Sus scrofa: one gene and its partners. The protein of the gene in region 2 binds, or shares a complex with, the protein of the main gene of each other region. Links are inferred from orthologs where the notes say so. Each region holds a gene or a part of one and is shown on either strand. Other genes may lie near its edges. The genes, in order: NRIP1, PPARG, NFKBIB and CREBBP.

Region 1 (4,469 bases), about 110 Mb from region 2:
TAAGCAATGGTAACATTTTACATTATGCACTAATACCTGTAGGTTCCAGTGAGCTGTACCATATCCAAGTATTATGTCTCTTTTTCTTTTCTTTTTTTCCCCCCCTAAATCTCTCAGTTAAATTCTGTACTATAGAACTGAAAAAGCAAGAGAGATAGGAAGAATTGTTAGTGATTTCTCCCACATTAGTTGTTTAAGAAACAGTAAAGGAAGTTACCTGAGGAAATTTGGCACACCTAGTTCCCTGAAGAGTTTGTAATAGTAGAGTCTGAGTGAATTCCAGCCTTAAGTAGTCTCGGAATTTCTGCTTTCTGAGGTATTCCAATTTTCTGCTAGAATGGTGGTAGGTGTTGCCTACCTGCACCCCAGGGGAGTGCACCTAGAATAGCTTTTCAGTAACTACTATCTTTGAGTTACAGGTTGATCTTATTAAAAAATGAGTTTCGGAGTTCCCGTCATGGCTCAGTGGTTAACGAACCCGACGAGGAACCATGAGGTTTTGGGTTCGATCCCTGGCCTTGCTCAGTGGGTTGAGGATCCAGCATTGCCGTGAGCTGTGGTGTAGGTTGCAGATGAAGCTCGTAGCCCGAGTTGCTGTGGCTCTGGTGTAGGCCGGCACCTACAGCTCTGATTAGACCCCTAGCCTCAGAACCTCCATATGCTACAGGAGCAGCCCTAGAAAAGGCAAAAAGACAAAAAAAAAAAAAAAAAAAAAAAAGAGTTTCTATGAAAAGCTCTTTCTTGCCTCATATAATTGGTTTTGTTTATAGAATATTCTTTTCAAAGAGGTTAATGAGAAATAACCATTTGAACTTTGAATTTCTCTTCAAATCTCTTCTAAATTTGTTTCTTGCCAACTTTTCTACAGGATGATATGATGACTTAGTATGTGTGTGTGTGTATATATATATATATATGTATAGTTATAGGTTTTTTTAAGATTTTACTTCTATTATAGTTGATTTATAATGTTCTGTCAGTTTCTGCTATTATAGTTTTATGTGCTCTATACTAACCACATTTTCTAAACCAAAAATTAATGCAGTACCCAAAAACATTTTTTAAATAATGACTTTTATTTTTAAATCCTTTAAATTTTTTTCAAATCACATAATATTTTAATTTATCTGTAATTATTGATAACAAGGTCATACTCAAAGAAATAGCATGGGCAGGGGGAGGAGTATTTTATATTAGGAACATTCTAGAAACTTAGGATGGTAGGCTTATCTGTAACCTGTATTCTGCATCTGCTAGGAGTGCACCTTATTTTACAAGTTCTACATGGAGCACAGATGTAAGAATTTTAAGACAGACGCATTCAAACTTTGCTCGACCTAAATGGGTTTTGTTTTTAATAAGTCTCGGTAAGAACTATGGGTGAATAAGCCTGTGATTTTATGTAAATGTGTATTAACTAAGACTATCACAGTTTGCATGCCCCTTCAGAAGAATCTTACACTTGTTAGGGCTTCCAATTCTTTGAAAACAGAAATTCTCCAAATTCTTTTGGGGATGGCTGATGTTTAGAGGATGATGTCAGAAGCGTTGTGTCGGCCTCAACCTCACATCCAACTCATTAGATGAGTCCATGTCACATGGATCTCTTCTCCTTTTTCCTCTTGTTCCTTCATAAGCTCTGAGTAATGTAAGGAAGCTAGAACTAGCCCCTTGTACAGCTGCAGTGCTATAGGGAGACGACTTAGCATCACATCACTTTGCAGAAAGATGTTTATGAAAATTCAAAAACTTAATGGGCTTTGGAAGACAGTTGTATAACATTAAAGTATTTTCTCTGATTGGATCCTTTTCACGATATGAAATTAATTAATCCATAAGATTTCCAGTAGAGATTTCCAATTTAATAGGAATGGCAATAAAATAAATTACTGAAGAAGCATCTATAATGCATAAATATGTACATTGCATGTGGGTATATATACGCATATCAGCTTACAAGCGCTAGATTGTTTTGCTTTCACATATCAGAGTACAATTCTAATTCTTCACCTCCTTAACTATTTTTTTCTTTAATTTTTCTAGAACACTGATATTTGCATTTATTGGGGAACAAAAGATGAAGAAGAAGCAGTGTATTCACTAAGGATTCTGCTGCTGCTTCTTACTTGGGAGTTGATCAGCTCTATGGTCGGACTGCACTGGGGTCGGCCTGCCATTTATCTCGCCACTGCCAGCAGGAATCCTGGTCGGAATGTAACAGTACACCTCTGTCTAATTACTATGGAAGGTGATAAACTGACACTCACTTATTAACATTACATCTCATTCACCCAAAAAAAAAACCATTCTTCAAAGTGAATAGAAACCAAGCCCTTGTGAACACTTCTATTGAACATGACTCATGGAGAAGAGCTTGGCTCTGATGTGCACCAGGATTCTATTGTTTTAACTTACCTAGAAGGATTACTAATGCATCAGGCAGCAGAGGGATCAGGTACTGCCGTCGACAAAAAGTCTGCTGGGCGTAATGAAGAAGATCAGAACTTTAACATTTCCGGTAATGCATTTCCCACCTGTCAAAGTAATGGTCCAGTTCTCAATACACACACATATCAGGGATCTGGCATGCTGCATCTCAAAAAAGCCAGGCTATTGCAGTCTTCTGAGGACTGGAATGCAGCGAAGCGGAAGAGGCTGTCTGATTCCATCGTCAATTTAAACGTAAAGAAGGAGGCTTTGCTGGCTGGCATGGTTGACAATGTGCCTAAAGGCAAACAGGATAGCACATTACTGGCCTCTTTGCTTCAGTCATTCAGCTCTAGGCTGCAGACTGTTGCTCTGTCACAACAAATTAGGCAGAGCCTCAAGGAGCAAGGGTATGCCCTCAGTCATGATTCTTTAAAAGTGGAGAAAGATTTAAGGTGCTACGGTGTTGCGTCAAGTCACTTAAAAACATTGTTGAAGAAAAGTAAAGCTAAAGATCAAAAGCCTGATACAAATCTCCCTGACGTAACTAAAAACCTCATCAGAGAGAGGTTCGTAGAGTCACCTCATCATGTTGGACAAAGTGGAACAAAGGTCCTGAGTGAACCTTTGTCATGCGCTGCAAGATTACAAGCTGTTGCAAGCATGGTGGAAAAAAGGGCTAGTCCTGCCACTTCACCCAAACCCAGTGTTGCTTGTAGCCAATTAGCATTACTCCTTTCAAGCGAAGCCCATTTACAGCAGTATTCTCGAGAACATGCTTTAAAAACACAAAATGCAAATCAGGCAGCGAGTGAAAGACTTGCTGCTATGGCCAGATTACAGGAAAATGGCCAGAAGGATGTGGGCAGTTTCCAGGTCTCCAAAGGAGTGTCAGGCCATCTTAATGGCCAGGCAAGAACATCATCAAACAAATTAATGGCTAGCAAAAGTACAACATTTCAAAGTCCAATGGGTCTCGTTCCTTCTTCCCCCAAAAATGCAGGCTATAAGAATTCACTGGAAAGAAACAATATCAAACAAGCTGCTAATAATAGTTTGCTTTTACATCTTCTTAAAAGCCAGACCATACCTAAGCCAATGAACGGACACAGTCACAGTGAGAGAGGAAGCATTTTTGAGGAGAGCAGTACACCTACAACTATTGATGACTACTCAGATAACAATCCCAGTTTTACAGATGATAGCAGTGGTGATGAAAGCTCTTATTCCAACTGTGTGCCCATAGACTTGTCTTGCAAGCACCGAACCGAAAAGCCAGAACCTGACCAGCCTGTTTCTCTAGATAACTTAACTCAGTCCTTACTAAACACTTGGGATCCCAAAGTCCCCGAAGTAGATAACAAAGAAGATCAAGATACCTCAAAGAATTCTAGGCTAAATTCACACCAGAAAGTGACCCTTCTTCAGCTGCTCCTCGGCCATAAGAATGAAGAAAATGTAGAAAGAAACAACAGCCCTCAGGAAGTCCACAGTGATGTGACAAAGTTCAGCACACAGAACTATGCTCGGACCTCTGTCATTGAAAGCCCGGGTACCAACAGGACGACGCCAGTGAGCACTCCACCCCTACTTGCATCGGCCAAAGCCGAGTCTCCCATCAACCTTTCCCAGCATTCTTTGGTCATTAGATGGAATTCCCCACCGTATGCCTGTGGCCCTCCGTCTGAAAAGCCAACAAATGCCACCTCCAACCGCTTGATGGACCTTACAAAGAGCAAAGACTTGCAAGGAGAGAAACCAGTCCAAAACGAAGGTGCACAAAACTCTGCCACGTTCAGTGCCAGCAAGCTGTTAAAAAATTTAGCGCAGTGTGGCATGCAGTCTTCCATGTCAGGGGAAGAGCAGAGACCCAGTAAACAGCTGCTAAGCGTCAACACGGATAAACCTACAGGTGTGATGGAGAGACTCGGTAGCCCTCTGCTCGCAAATAAAACAAACCCAGCTGAAGAAAATAAAGCATTCGGCAGCCACTCAGCCGGCCCTGAGCCCGGACTTTCTGGTTCCGAAATAGAAAATCTGCT
Region 2 (3,193 bases):
TGTGGCATCAAGCAACAAATCTATTAATTGTGCCAAGAAGATTCCTGCTTTGAGGGACCATGTCATCTAGTTGCTGGGGAGGCTGGCCTCCCCTAAACGGATAATTAGGCTTTGAGATTGGAAAAGTCAGAGCTTCCTGGGCAAAGTGGTCCCAAGAAGGAAGGCAGGAAGATGTACAGCAAAACTGCTTGAGACCAGAACATGGCCCTTCTCCCTCACTCATGTTTTGCTTTGCTTTTGTTTCCTTTTGCTATTGTTTCTGTGGTTTTGCTTTCCTAGAATGTCTTCTCTCCAACTCTCTACCTATCTCAAGTAAAACGCATCCTTTGAGGCCCACTTGAATGAATTTATGATCACTCAAGACTTTTCCAATCTTCTTAATCTTTACTTTGAACTCAGAGCACTTGGAGTCTGAACCATACATTTGGCACAGGATTATACTGTACATATTAATCTGTTTGTGAGAAAAATTAATCTTTTTTTCCCCCCTCAATTCAATAATAAGTTCTTTTTGGCAGGTGCCACATCTTATACCACTTGTGTTACAGCATCTAGCAGTTAATACCCTCCAGTGGGTATCTGTCTGTGCCTTGGTGTCCTGTTAGAGGGCTGCTGTTGGTGAGTGAAAATCTTGATTGGGGCTGGGGAAGAAGACTGAATTCTTGGTAAGCCTAGGGACATGGTCAACATTAGTCCATCCAGGTTAAGAAACACATGCTCTGAGTAGTTTTCAGTCCTGAAATTCCTCGCTTAGTTGTGATTTTTAAAACAGTTACAAGGTTCAGAAACATTGTAAATGGAGTAAAAAACTTGACTGAAAATGGAAATTGATCAGCAATCCCATTCACATTGTTTCACACTGTAAGAAAGAAAAAAGGAAAAATAAAGGAAGGAAGAGGGAGGAGATAAAAGGAAAAAAATACCTGGGGAGTGGTGATGGGAGACACAACAGACTCAGTCTTCAAAGACATCCAGCAAGTTCATGATGTGGTAATTTTTAATATTAAAAGTAAATTGTAAATGTATCTTTATAAACAATATGCATAAAATAGATCTATTATTCTAAAACCTTTTCTTTTTCAAACGCTTTTTCACAGTAATTTTTTTTAGGTGTCAGATTTTTTTTCCCCCAAAATAATAGTGCAATTGGAAGAAGGAGAATGTTGTCGGTGAACGTGGACTTCTTTGCTAGTACAAGTCCTTGTATATTTCCTGTAGGAGTGGGTGAAGGCTCATGTCCGTCTCTGTCTTCTTTATTACTTGCAGCAGCTGCACGTGCTCTGTCACAATCTGTCTGAGGTCTGTCATTTTCTGGAGCAGCTTAGCAAAGAGCTGGGAGGACTCTGGGTGGTTCAACTTGAGCTGCAGCTCCAAGGCTTGCAGCAAATTGTCTTGAATGTCCTCGATGGGCTTCACATTCAGCAAACCTGGGCGGTCTGGGGGAGCAGAAATGGAAGACAGAACAGGAGGTTTAGGTATAAAATTCTCTGGCCAATGACTTTTTGTTGGTTTTGTTTTGGTTCTAAAATAGGATGGGGGCAGGGGAGGTAAGCAGAGAGTTGGCAAGAACTGCATATAAGAAAAAAGGAATAAAACCCAAGACTATCAGAGCTTTTTCCAAGACCATTCTTTTCCCGTAGGACTAAATCTGTGTGACCAGATGACAGAACGTGGTGGCATGGCAATCACTTCCCAGATTGCAGATTCTTCTGCTGGCATTATTTCTACTCACTCAGAAATCTCATTTTTAACTTCTGCTCCTTCCTGATGAGTCTATGTTTTATAATCTTATTTTCTTACCACAACTTTCAACACACTTTCATTTTTTTTATAATGATTTTAATTTTTTCAATTCTAGCTGGTTTACAGTGTTGTGTCAATTTTCTACTGTACAGCAAGGTGACCTAGTCACACATACACATATACATTCTTTTTTCTCACATTATCATGCTCCATCGTAAGTGACTAGATAGAGTTCCCAGTGCTAAACAGCAGGATCAACACACTTTTAAAATAAACTTTGTCTTCTTTTTGCTTAACATAGCATATGCATTTTTCAAAGAGATGAGACATAGTTTTCAAATTCTGTTATACTTTTGGAAGGATAGACCAAGTTTTAACAGAGGCTTCTCTTTCGACAGGTGAGGATGCAGGTAGATTTCACTTTCTTCTTTATACTTTCCTTATTTGAACTTTTAAATGGTGAGCTTAGATTACTTTTAAATTTTTAATGTTTTTTCTTCATGGAGGTCTTTTTAGATTTCTTCTTAAATACTTTCCAGTATTCTTTATTTTTACTTGTTTCCTTTCTAGTATTCTATACTTCTTTTTCATTACATTTTCTAATGTATCCCTGCTGATGTTTAGAAAAAAGTTAGGTTTTATTATACTGAATCTATTCCAATTTCCTAAACTCTTCTCAAATCAAACAGTTTGTATCATGGGTTAAAAAAATTATTTTTTGGATAGACAATTATATCTGCAAATAATCATATTTTTATTATTTGTTTTGTTCATAAGTTTTATTTATTTCTTTTTTTCTAGTGTTTATAGTTCTCATTTCTTTTTTTTGCCATACTGCATTGGCTAATAATGCTAATACGGTAAATAGTAGCAGTACTGGGAAGCATTCTTATTTTATTCCTAAGCTTGAAGGAAATGCTTCTAATGGTTTACCACAAGTATGGTATTTACTAGAGTATGGTGGATATGTTTTTCTCCAGATTCTCCCAGAGTTTTAAAGGTTTTAATTTTAGTTAGGAATGTTGTTGCATTTCATCAAATGCTTTCAAGTTTTTCTACCTAAAATGTTGACCATATAGTTTTATCTTAAGCTAGTGTAGTGAATTATATTAATAGATTTTCTTATACCCTTGCATTCATTTGCTATATATTTTATTTAGGGTTTTTAAAATTGGGATAGTGGTCCAGAGTCGTCTTCTTTTGTGCCATCCTTTGCCTGTTTTGGTAATAAATATTAACTAGCCTTACAGACTGAGTTGAGAAGTTTTCCTTCTGTTTCTATGTAGTGATGATCTAGTCCTTGATGGTTTTTTTTGGAATTCATTTGCAGAACCATTTGAGCCTGGTGGTAAATCTTTGAGTATCTTTACTTTTCCTCCTATAGCTTTTAATTTATTCAGGCTTTTTACTACTTACAAAGTAAAATTTTAGTAATTTATATTGGAATGGA
Region 3 (5,157 bases), on a different chromosome or scaffold from region 2:
TGCTGGAGTAAGTACTCAGGAAATGCCAACCATGGGAATAATTAGCGGAGCACCCCAGCCACCTGACCTCTGAGCGCATCTCACTCTCCCGCCTCCCCGTGTTTGCACAAGCCGTACCCTCCGCGTGGGACCCCAATTCGCACCTCACCTAAGAAAATTCTAAGTCACTCTACACTCACTACTGCGAGTCTGTACCTCAACCTGACTCCTAGATCAGCCTGTGGGATTCCTCCAGGGAAAGGACTGGCTGGAATCTGTGGGACTCCACGAAGTTTACTCTGGGCTCCCAAGGTGCCCTGAGCTGCTTTCCTTGTCACCCTACACTTGGCTCTGAGATCTCTTCCATGCGCAGTGCAAAAGAGGTTCAGAAGGGATGGGGTGGGGGGTGGCAAGGAGAGAGGAAGGTTTGGAAGGGCAGGCCGGGGGCTGAGGCTGCACGCCCTCCTCTGACAGTCCCCAGAATCCACCATTCCCCGGGAGGCTGAACCAGGAGGTGGGGGGAGGGACTGGGGCAGGGAGCTCAGGGCCCTGGGGTTCCCATCTCCCCTCTGCCACCTCCCTCCCAGGATGGGGTGTGGGAAGTCCATCTCTCTCCTTCCCGCCACCCTTCCGCCCCATCTCACCTGAGCCTCTTGCACCTTCCCTGTCTGGGTCTCCACAGGGTCTGAGGCTGGGGGGAGGAGGGGGAGCAGACGTGGTTAAGGTGAAGGGAGTGGTTAAGGGGGAAGGAAGGGCTTCAAATTAGTGGGGCAGAGGGATCAAGAAAACTCACCAACCTGGTCATACCGGGTGGGGTGGGGGTGTAAAATGGAAGTGGAGGAGGGCGGCAATGGGGAAAAGCGGACCTTATCAGTGTGCAGACGGCTGGGAGGAGAGGTTAGCGAGGGACAAAGAGGCCGGGACAGGAAGGTTTAGGCGAGGGAAGAGAAAGTAAAGCACGCCCGGCATGGAGGAAGACTTAGGAGGAGTTAGGAAGGGTGTAGTAGTGTGAGAGTGTGTGTCATTAGGTTTACAAGCAGTGGGAAGCCATAGAAAGGAGAGAAGACATACTCTGCCTGTTGGCAGGTTTGGGAGAAGAGGTGCAGAGTGTGTGTGTGTGTGTGGTGTGTGTGTGTGTGTGTGTCGGGCAGGGTGGGGTTGGTTTCGGAGAAAAAGGAAGCAATAGGAGGGGACCCTGGCATCCTACAGTTGCTACTAACAACCAGGTACCCTTAGCAACCAGGACCGCGGCATCTTAAGTCCCTAGCAACGAGGGTCCTTGGCAACTAAGGTGCGAGAAACATGTGATCATTAGTAACTTGGGGGAAGTGGCAAACGGACCCTTAAAACCTAGCGACCCAGAAAGCCACCAATCTAGCAATATGGATCACTTGGCAACTGCCCCCGGAATCCCATTTTCCCCCCCATGCAACCCCCATCTCCTGCCCCACCAAGCCTGCCCTCGGGCCCCGGGGCCTACGACCCTCAGCTAGGCCCCGGTGCAGCCCTGCCCTCCCACCGGGGTCCCCGACTCACGATCCGGCTCGGCCATGGGCGCGGGGCGGGGGCCCTCGGGACTGTCACCGACTGCTCTGTCCCGTGACGGCACCGGAAACAGGAGGGGGCCGAGACAAGGCAGAGAACTACAACTCCCAGCAGCCATCGCGATCGCATATAATGCTCTGCACCGCGTACGGAGCGCGCCCCCACGCAAAGGCCGGACTACGAGTCCCAGAGGGCTCCACGTCCACAGCCATGCTGGTAAAGGACTCCGGGAAAGTGTGGGAAAAGGTAGAACGCCGTAGTCCACCTGAGTGCTCTGATTGGTCATCATGTGGCATGGGGGCGGGGCGTGTACTACTTAGCCCACCCTGATTGGATGAGTCAGGGGGGCGTGTTGGGGAATTCCCCGCAGGGCGGAAGCTCGAGAATTCCAGGCAGAGCCCAGCGACAGGCGGGCTGCCGCTGGGGGCCCCTGAGGCTTCGGGGGCCATGGCTGGGGTTGCGTGCTTGGGGAAAGCTGCGGACACCGATGAATGGTGCGACAGCGGCTTGGGCTCTCTGGGTCCGGACGCAGCGGCCCCCGGAGGACCAGGCCTAGGCGCGGAGCTGGGTCCGGGACTATCGTGGGCGCCCCTCGTCTTCGGCTACGTCACTGAGGATGGCGACACGTGAGTGAACCTTAGACTGACAAATCGGGCCCCAGGGTCCCACATCTCCAATCCTGACTTCCCAACCTTTCAATCCTAAATCTGTCTTTTGATGCTTGACTTCCTGACCCCAAGACTGGCCTCTGATAAAACCAACTTCTTATCTAATTTTGATCCTAACCCAATAATGTCTGGCCTTCCTTTCTTGAACTGATTCTCAGAGTTATGCGTTCATTGATCAGACCCACATTCAGTGATCGATTCCACATCCAAAACTCGATTTGACCTTCCTGACCCCAGTCCTTAGCCCTCTGTTAGAACTGTAGTTCAGACAGGCTCCTCCTGACCTTTATCCTCCAAATATGATCTTTGGTCCTCAGCGCCTAACTTACATGAGCCTTAGATTTTATTTCGAAATTAATACTTGGCTTTTGACTCCAGGATCCCACCTTCTGAACTCTGATCTTCAAAGCTTACATTCAAAGAGAAAATGGAAACTACATAACAGCAGGAATTCATCTATTAAACAAATAATCCAACACCTTCGACTTTCCAGGAACTGTTTTAGGTGTGGCCTAAAGGCAGGGAGGAAAGCCCAAAAAACATTTGTCTTGTGGAGCATACATTCTAGTGGGGGTATATAGACAGAAGGGCAGATAGACTGACAGGGAGGGAGGAAGGGTAGGAGGAAGAAAAAGGAAAGAAAAGGAGAGAGAAGGAAAGAGAAAAAAAGATACACAGACCTAAAGTAAGAAAGGGAGAGAAAGAAGAAAGGCAGGAAGAAACGAAGACAAAAATTAAAAAAAAAAAGAAAAATAGCATGTCAGACGTTAAGAAGTTCTTTGGAGAAAAATAAAGCAGGGAAGTGAGACAAGTAGATTATCTGGGGAGAACATTGCACATAGAGGGAAAAACAGTTGTAAAGGCCCAATTGAGGGAATGTACCTGGGGTTTTTGAGTATCGTGTTTACCGCTGTATCCCCAGTGACCCAGCAGCCCCTGACCCATAGGAGGCACTCAGGAAACAGTGATCTTCTCAAACAACCAGCTGTGGTTTCATTTATTTTCTCTTTTTCTCTCTTTTTGCTTTCTATTTTGTTGATCTCTGTTCTGACTTATTTACTTTCTTCTCTTATTTGGGGTTTAATTTCTTCTTTTTCTCGTTTTTTAAGATGGAAGCTGAGGTCATTGATTTGAGACTCTTTTTTTTTTTTTTTTTTACGCATATAAGTGATTCATGCTGTAAATTTCCCGGAGTAGTGCTTTAGCAGTATCTCACCAATTCTGATGTGCTGTGTCGTTTTTTGTCATTTTGTTTTGTTTTGCTTTTAAGGCCTACCTGCGACATACGGAAGTTCCCAGGCTGGGGTCAAATCGAAGATGCAGCTGCCGGCCTACACCGCAGCCACCGCAATGTGGGATCTGAGCCCTATGTGCGACTTAGACCACAGCTTATGGCAGTGCCAGATCTTTAACCCAGTGATCCGGGCCAGGGATTGACCACATCCTCATGGATACTGGTTGTGTTCGTTAACCACTGAGTCACAACAGGAATTCCATGATGTGTAGTGTTTTTATTTAATGCAATATACTTTCTAATTTCTTTTTTGATTTCTTCTTTGGTCATCGGATTCTTCAGAAGTATGTTATTCAGTTTCCATATCACAGGCATCTTTCTTTCATTGGCTTTTAGTTTAATTCTGTTGGGGATGGAGAGCCTAGCATGACTTGAATCCTTTCAGACTTTTTGAGACTTGTTTTAGGGCCAAGAATATAATGTGTGCATTTGAAAGAATGTGTATTCTGCTCTGGTTGGGTGTAGTGTTCTCCGAGTGTCAGTGTTTCCCTGGTTCTTTTGTTGCTCAAGTCTAGATTTCTACTTGTTCTGTCAATTATTGAGAGCCGGGTATTGAAATCTTCAACAATAATTGTGGATTCGTGGCTTTCCTTGTTGTGCTATCAGATTTTGCTTTGTGTAATTTGATGCTCTATTATTAGGGGCACAAATATTTAGGATTATTAAGTCCTCTTGTTTCACTGACCTCTTTGTCGTTATGAAATAACCTTCTCTAGCCCTGGTAATGCTTCTTGCTCTGAAATCTACTCTGATATTAAAATACTTACTTCTGTTTTCTTTTGAATGACTGGTGTTACCATGGAATATCTTTTTATACCCTTTAATTTTAACCTATTTTAAAATTTATATTTCAAGAGTGTTACAGGCAGCATATAGTGGGTTTTGCTTTTTTTTTTTTTTTTTTGGCTGTGCCTGTGGAAGTTCCCGAGCCAGCAACTCAACTCGAGCCACAGCAGTGTGGCACAATGACAGTGCTGGATCCTGAATCTGCTGCACCACAAGAGAACTCGAGGTTTACTTTTTTATTCATTCTGACAGTTTCTGTCTTTTAATTGCAGTGTTTAGACTGTTTGCATTTAACTTAATTATTGAAATGGTTATGTTTATCTTGTTTTTAGCTTTTTTGCTTATCTCTTTTACCTTTTTCCTCTTTTTCTGCCTTTTAGAATGAGCAAATTTTGTTCCATTGTGTTTCTTTTGTTGGCTTATTAGCTCTAACTCTTTGTTTTTTATTTTCGTGGTTGCTCTGAAAGACCAATAGTTGGCAAACTGGTTTCCAGACAAAGTCCAGCCAGCTACCTGCTTTTGCATGGCTGTGAGCTAAGAATAGTTTTTACATTTTCAAATGGTTAGAAAAAAATCAAAAGAAGAAAAGCATTTCGTGGCAAGTGAAAATTATATGAAATTCAAATTTCAGACTCCATAAAGTAAGCTGTTGGAATCCAGCCATACCCATTTATTTATACATCACCAGTGGATGCTTCTGCATCCTGACAGCTGAGCTAAGTGAGTAAAAGAGAGACCATATCGTCCACTAGGCCTGAATTACTTCTCTTGCTCTTTACAGGAAATATTTGCTGACTCGTGCTTTAGGGCTTATAAAGGTACCACTTTCACTTACTGTGGTCTGTCTTCAAGAGTTTTTTCTTTTTTTAAACAGTTTTTTTCTTG
Region 4 (4,939 bases), on a different chromosome or scaffold from region 2:
CGCTCTCCTCAGAAGGCTTCCCTGACCTCCCAGCCTGCAGGGACCTCTGGCATCTGCCATTGGTGTCAATGTCATGTATCAGACACGCCTTACTTCACTGGAGCAAACGCACATCCATGCTCCCGTTAGACCGCAAGCGCCCTGCAGCCAGCACCCTGTCTGGTAAGCTCCCCAGCATCAAGTGTAACTATTCCCTGGGCCCACGGCCTGCCCCCAGACCCCAAAGACATGCCCTGGACAGTGACAGTCCAAGTCACCCCAGCTTCTCAGGCCATCAGAGCCTCCTTCTACTCCTAACGCCTCAGCTCTTCCCAGCCACAGAGCTCTCCTCCCTCAAATTTCATCACATGAGCAACGAATAGGCATGGCTCTGCCCGGTCCAATTCTTTTTTTTTTTTTTTCTTTTTGCTATTTCTTTGGGCCACTTCTGCGGCATATGGAGGTTCCCAGGCTAGGGGTCTAATTGGAGCTGCAGCCGCCGGCCTACACCAGAGCCAGAGCAACTCGGGATCCGAGCCGCGTCTGCGACCTACACCACAGCTCACGGCAATGCCGGATCGTCAACCTACTGAGCAAGGGCAGGGACCGAATCCGCAACCTCATGGTTCCTAGTTGGATTCGTTAACCACTGCGCCACGACGGGAACTCCTGCCCGGTCCAATTCTATCCTAGAAGCCACAAACCCATATCTCCTCATTTAAATGAGGCTGAGTCTCTCGAGAATGTTATTCTCAGGTCTCTCCCCATGTTTCCATTTAACAAAATGCCTTCGATCCTTTGACTGCGTGTAATCTAATCCCTTTAGTCCTTGCTTTGCCTTGACAGACATCCTTAAGCCCTGCTTCAGACCAGCAGTTACGGGAGACAAGGCTGTACCTTGCTTCATGTGCTCAGTGAGGGCCCTTCCAAGGCCCTGACACTAAGAGACCCTCTCACAGGGACATGATGGTGCCGAACGCGCCACCAAGGACCCGACACACATATAAAGGTGAATTTATTCTTTGGATTATTTAAACAGAGCTGTTAAAACTGACTTTTTTGTTCCACATTTGGAAAAGCAAAAGAGCTCCAGTGCCTCAAAAGGATCAAAATTAGAAAGGGAAAAAAGTGGTCAAAATCCACCCTTTCTGATAAATTTTACTGTGATCAGCCACACATTAAGTAGATATCTGACCATCCAATAACAGAAGTGCCCCAAGAGCCAGTCCTTTGGGTGCCATCTTGAAAAGAGGTACAAGTTTACAGTGGGACAAGCCTTTCTGCTACGTCTCACGTAACTCCCTTGTCCCTCTGTATAAAAAGCAAAGTCTAAAATAACCTCAATCAACAACAGCAAAGCTGCAAAGCCATTCAAAAGTTACGTTTCAGAGGACAAGCTTCAAAGCAAACTTGTCCAGTATGATCTATATTTCATATGATTAAAGATTTTTCACTCAAACATGCCAAGATTAATGGAGCCAAGATGAGCTATTCTGCAGTAAAATCAGAGTTTTTTAAATGCAGTAAAATCAGAGCATTGAAATCATGGTTGTTCTCACATTTCTCATTTCAGATAAGCTGATTTTACAAAATTAACATCAAACACAACACTTCATCAGTTTTTTTTTTTTAAAGAAGAGTATTATTGGTGACTTTTATACACCATGAGACTTAACTGACTCTTCTCCAACTGTTTCAACAAATTTCATTTCAACTAGACAAGAATCTCATGATTTTTTTTTTACACTTTCTCTCAATTCTACATTAAAAAATAGTCTAGGAATTGTAGTAAAACTGCAGCCACAAAACTCAAGTTTTGTTCCAACAATAGCAATAGATTTTTAGACCACTAGCAGAAAAACGCTAGTGGTCAGTCACAGAAATGTTTGCACAAGCTGAACAGCTGTGTCTACTGCAAATCTGAAGGCACTGCTGCAGCAATATAATTCAATTCTGACCCATTCATTATAAACTGATTTACAGATGCTGCTACTGCAAGATCACAGTGGAGAAATGCAAGCTGCGCTGGGGATCAAATCGTTCACCGAAGCGCACAAGTTTTTAACGCAAAGGAGAGCTCTGAAAGAGGAAATACAACTAGTTCATAACGCTACCATGAACCAGCCCAGAAGAACCTAAAACTATAAATGAATAGAAAACTAAAACACTTCCCTTAGGTAATTGATGTGATCACCTAAGAAAGTTTCCAGGGAAGATGTTTAAAACAGTGAATTTATTCAGTATCCTACCGAAAAAACTAGGGAGGAAGACTGTAATTCCCCCATTCCTTAACATATTTTTTCTTCTTACATCTTCACTGTAAAAGCAACACAAGCTCACTTGCAGATTGCAGCCCGGATCAATCTGCTATTTAACTTTCTTCCGAAGTTACAGTCTTGAAATTAAACACCCCACTTAGGACGTCTTCCGAAGTTTGGGGCTGTGAAAAATGGGATAGCTCAGGAGACCAACAACAAGAGTTTTCAAAGTAACTACTAAGCATTTTTCCCAAGCAGCACATTCCAAAAAACTTCTAAGTCGTAACTCAAGAGGCTGGCTGCAGCTCTGCGTGTCTTCTGGTTGCCTTGTGAATGTGCTACCAATTCAGAAAACATTTCGGGTCCCCTTTGGGCTGCACGCTTTCCTTCCCTCACTGGCAAACGCACCCTCCGCTGTCATCCCTTCAAACAGCCACGCGTGTGTCGACCCACGGCGGCAGAGGGTGGCAAAGGGACTCACCACGCAGAACAAACACGCTCCGCTTTACTTTTCCCCCCTGGAAGTACCACTCGGGCTCCACGCGAGGAGGGCTCGCCAACTCCGGGCTATGCGAGCGCACCGGGCATGTGCCGCCCCACTCGGGCCCCAGGCAGTCTTCCGACAAACTTCCCCCTCCGCGGCCGGGGTCCCGGGGAAAGGGCCCCGCACGCCCGCCCTCGAGTTCGGGTCCCCCGGGGGCACTCACCTCCGGGCAGGGCTGTCAGCGACCCCCGGGGCCCCTGTTCCCGCCCGGCCCCCTACTCACCTGTGCTGTCATTCGCAGAGAAGCCGGGCGAGCTGAGTTTGGCTCGTTTGGGGTTGGGCGGTCCGTCCAGCAAGTTCTCGGCCATTTTCACCTGCTCGCGAAAACAGCCCCGAGCGCGGGCGGCGGGGCCGGCGAGGGCTCCGGGGCGGGGGTCGGCGCCGGCCCCGGCCGGCTGCGAGGGGAGAGCGAGCGCGAGCCGCGAGTCGCGAGCGAGCGCCGAGGGAGAGGGAGGGCGCAGGGCCGGGTGGGGGAGGCGGCGGCCAAATCTCAGCCACAGCAACAGCGCCCCGCAGCGCTCACCGCCCGCCCCCGGCCGCCGCCGCCGCCGCCGCCGCCGGCCGCGGCCCCCTCATCCCCTGCCCGCCTCCCGAGCGCGACACTCCGCGGCGGGGGCGCCCCGGCGGCCCGGCGGCCCCCCGGGCCCGGCTGGCAGCGACGGCGCCCGGCCGGGCGGCTCAGGCAGTCCCCGGGAACATGGTGCCGCCGCCGCGCCGCCGCCTCGCTCCCCCCCCGCGCCCCACTTAATTAATTCGCTCGCGGCCCGACGACCGGGGGGCTCCGGGCTCCGCTCCCTGCCCGCGGCCCGCCGCCGCCGCCGCCGCCGCGAGGAAAAACAATGAGCGAAGCGGGGCCGCCGCCGCCGCCGCCGCCGCGGCCCCCCCACCCCCCGTTCCGCCGCCGCCGCCGCCGCCGCTGCCGCCGCCGCCGCCGCCGCCGCCGCGGCTCCGGGAGGCCGAGCCGAGAGGCGAGCGGGGCCGCCGGAGCGGGCGCCGAGGGCCAGGCGGAGCGGGCCGGCCGGGCGGAGCGGGGTGCGCGGGCGGTTGTGGGGCCCGGGACCGGCGGGGCCGAGTAGATCGCGCTCGAAGCCCCGGTCGGGTCCGCGACAAGATGGCGGCTGTTGATTCCTCAATTAAAAAAAAAAGAAAGTTTTTTTTCTTCTCTTTCCAGAGCCTGAACGGGGAGGGGGAGGGGGCGGGGCACGCCGGTGCGTCACCCCCCCCCGCGGCGTCACCACGCACGGCCCCCGCCCCGCCCCCTCCACCTGCGCCGGCCGCAGCGGAAAGAGCCGAGCGCGTTCGGACGGAAAGGGCCGAAGGCGCGGCTGCCGTACGTCGTGCGGCCGAGTGGCGGGGCGGCTAGACTGCCCGGCGGGGGCCGGGCCTGCGGGGCGCCGGGCGCCGGGCACCGCCGCCACTTTTGTTCTGACGGCGACTGGGCGGCGAGGGGTCTGGCTGCGGCCTGGCAGCAAGCCGGGCCCCCAGGCGCGGAGTTGGCGCCGCCCGGGCCTGCCCGTCCCGCAGGCGACTCTGCCCAGTCCCGGCTCCCCGCGCCCCTGCTCCGCGACCCTTCTCGGTGACCAGGGCTGGCAGCTTCTCCCCGCCGGATGCCAGCGTTGTGTCGTGGCCTCTGCAGGTTACAGACTGCTCTTGGGTCCGCCCGTGAGCGAGTGCAGATGGGGAAACTGAGGCAGGAAGTGGCAGGGCCGAGATTCGAAGGCCTCCACGTGAAGTGAGGAGGACGCAGGACTCCTGAGCCCTTGTTCCCCAGCCTGATGCAATAGGGGCCCCAGGTCCGACACCCTCACCTGCACCGGGAAGTGGTGAGCGCTGCTTCCCAGCCAAGCACACTCAGTCTGCGCCGGGCCCAGAAGGCCCCATTACATCAGGGCTTAGGGCCCTCGTGCCCTACGCAACCATCTGGACCCCGCAGGTGCTGCAGTCAGGTGTGAGGTTCCCCCGGAGGCCCGCCCGCGTGCCCACTATCCGCAGGACAGTTACACACAAATCTAAGGTGTTCACACATCTCAGCTCATTATCTGCTTCTCACAATTTGCCTGGGCTTCATCCCACGTCTTTATCTGAAGGGTATCACCAACGACCTGTTTGTTTCCTAAGCCAGAATTCTGTGAGTCCTCCTCTCCCTCCACCCACCAAG

Evidence for each region.
Region 1: the proteins of PPARG (region 2) and NRIP1 are in contact, whole or in part, in a crystal structure (PDB 9CWN), measured with the Homo sapiens proteins. The link is inferred for Sus scrofa from reciprocal best matches to the Homo sapiens genes PPARG and NRIP1. Residues at the interface, in NP_056953.2 of Homo sapiens: Val321, Gln322, Thr325, Lys329, Phe334, Leu339, Gln342, Val343, Leu346, Lys347, Pro495, Leu496, Glu499, Ile500, Lys502; in NP_001426204.1 of Homo sapiens: Ser130, Thr131, Leu132, Leu133, Ala134, Leu136, Leu137, Ser139.
Region 3: the proteins of PPARG (region 2) and NFKBIB are in contact, whole or in part, in a crystal structure (PDB 9CK0), measured with the Homo sapiens proteins. The link is inferred for Sus scrofa from reciprocal best matches to the Homo sapiens genes PPARG and NFKBIB. Residues at the interface, in NP_056953.2 of Homo sapiens: Gln322, Thr325, Lys329, Phe334, Leu339, Gln342, Val343, Leu346, Lys347, Leu496, Glu499, Ile500; in NP_002494.2 of Homo sapiens: Asn286, Pro287, Ile288, Leu289, Ala290, Leu292, Leu293, Arg294, Ala295.
Region 4: the proteins of PPARG (region 2) and CREBBP are in contact, whole or in part, in a crystal structure (PDB 7RLE), measured with the Homo sapiens proteins. The link is inferred for Sus scrofa from reciprocal best matches to the Homo sapiens genes PPARG and CREBBP. Residues at the interface, in NP_056953.2 of Homo sapiens: Val321, Gln322, Thr325, Glu326, Lys329, Phe334, Val335, Leu339, Asn340, Gln342, Val343, Thr344, Leu346, Lys347, Leu496, Glu499, Ile500, Lys502; in NP_004371.2 of Homo sapiens: Asp62, Ala63, Ala64, Lys66, His67, Lys68, Gln69, Leu70, Ser71, Leu73, Leu74, Arg75.

Annotation. Positions count from the first base shown.
Region 1 is NC_010455.5:179,828,764-179,833,232, reverse strand, and holds part of NRIP1 (nuclear receptor-interacting protein 1), read left to right. Parts: intron 1-2,043; 5' UTR 2,044-2,355; coding exon 2,356-4,469. UniProt on the Homo sapiens protein: Modulates transcriptional activation by steroid receptors such as NR3C1, NR3C2 and ESR1. Also modulates transcriptional repression by nuclear hormone receptors.
Region 2 is NC_010455.5:68,431,734-68,434,926, reverse strand, and holds the end of PPARG (peroxisome proliferator-activated receptor gamma), read right to left. Parts: intron 1,437-3,193; coding exon 1,189-1,436; 3' UTR 980-1,188; downstream 1-979. UniProt on the Homo sapiens protein: Nuclear receptor that binds peroxisome proliferators such as hypolipidemic drugs and fatty acids.
Region 3 is NC_010448.4:47,701,770-47,706,926, forward strand, and holds the start of NFKBIB (NF-kappa-B inhibitor beta), read left to right. Parts: upstream 1-1,874; 5' UTR 1,875-1,971; coding exon 1,972-2,150; intron 2,151-5,157. Other genes in the region: SIRT2 (NAD-dependent protein deacetylase sirtuin-2), read right to left, coding at 624-670, 1,516-1,531. UniProt on the Homo sapiens protein: Inhibits NF-kappa-B by complexing with and trapping it in the cytoplasm.
Region 4 is NC_010445.4:38,386,718-38,391,656, reverse strand, and holds the start of CREBBP (CREB-binding protein), read right to left. Parts: upstream 3,292-4,939; 5' UTR 3,090-3,291; coding exon 3,005-3,089; intron 1-3,004. UniProt on the Homo sapiens protein: Acetylates histones, giving a specific tag for transcriptional activation. Mediates acetylation of histone H3 at 'Lys-18' and 'Lys-27' (H3K18ac and H3K27ac, respectively).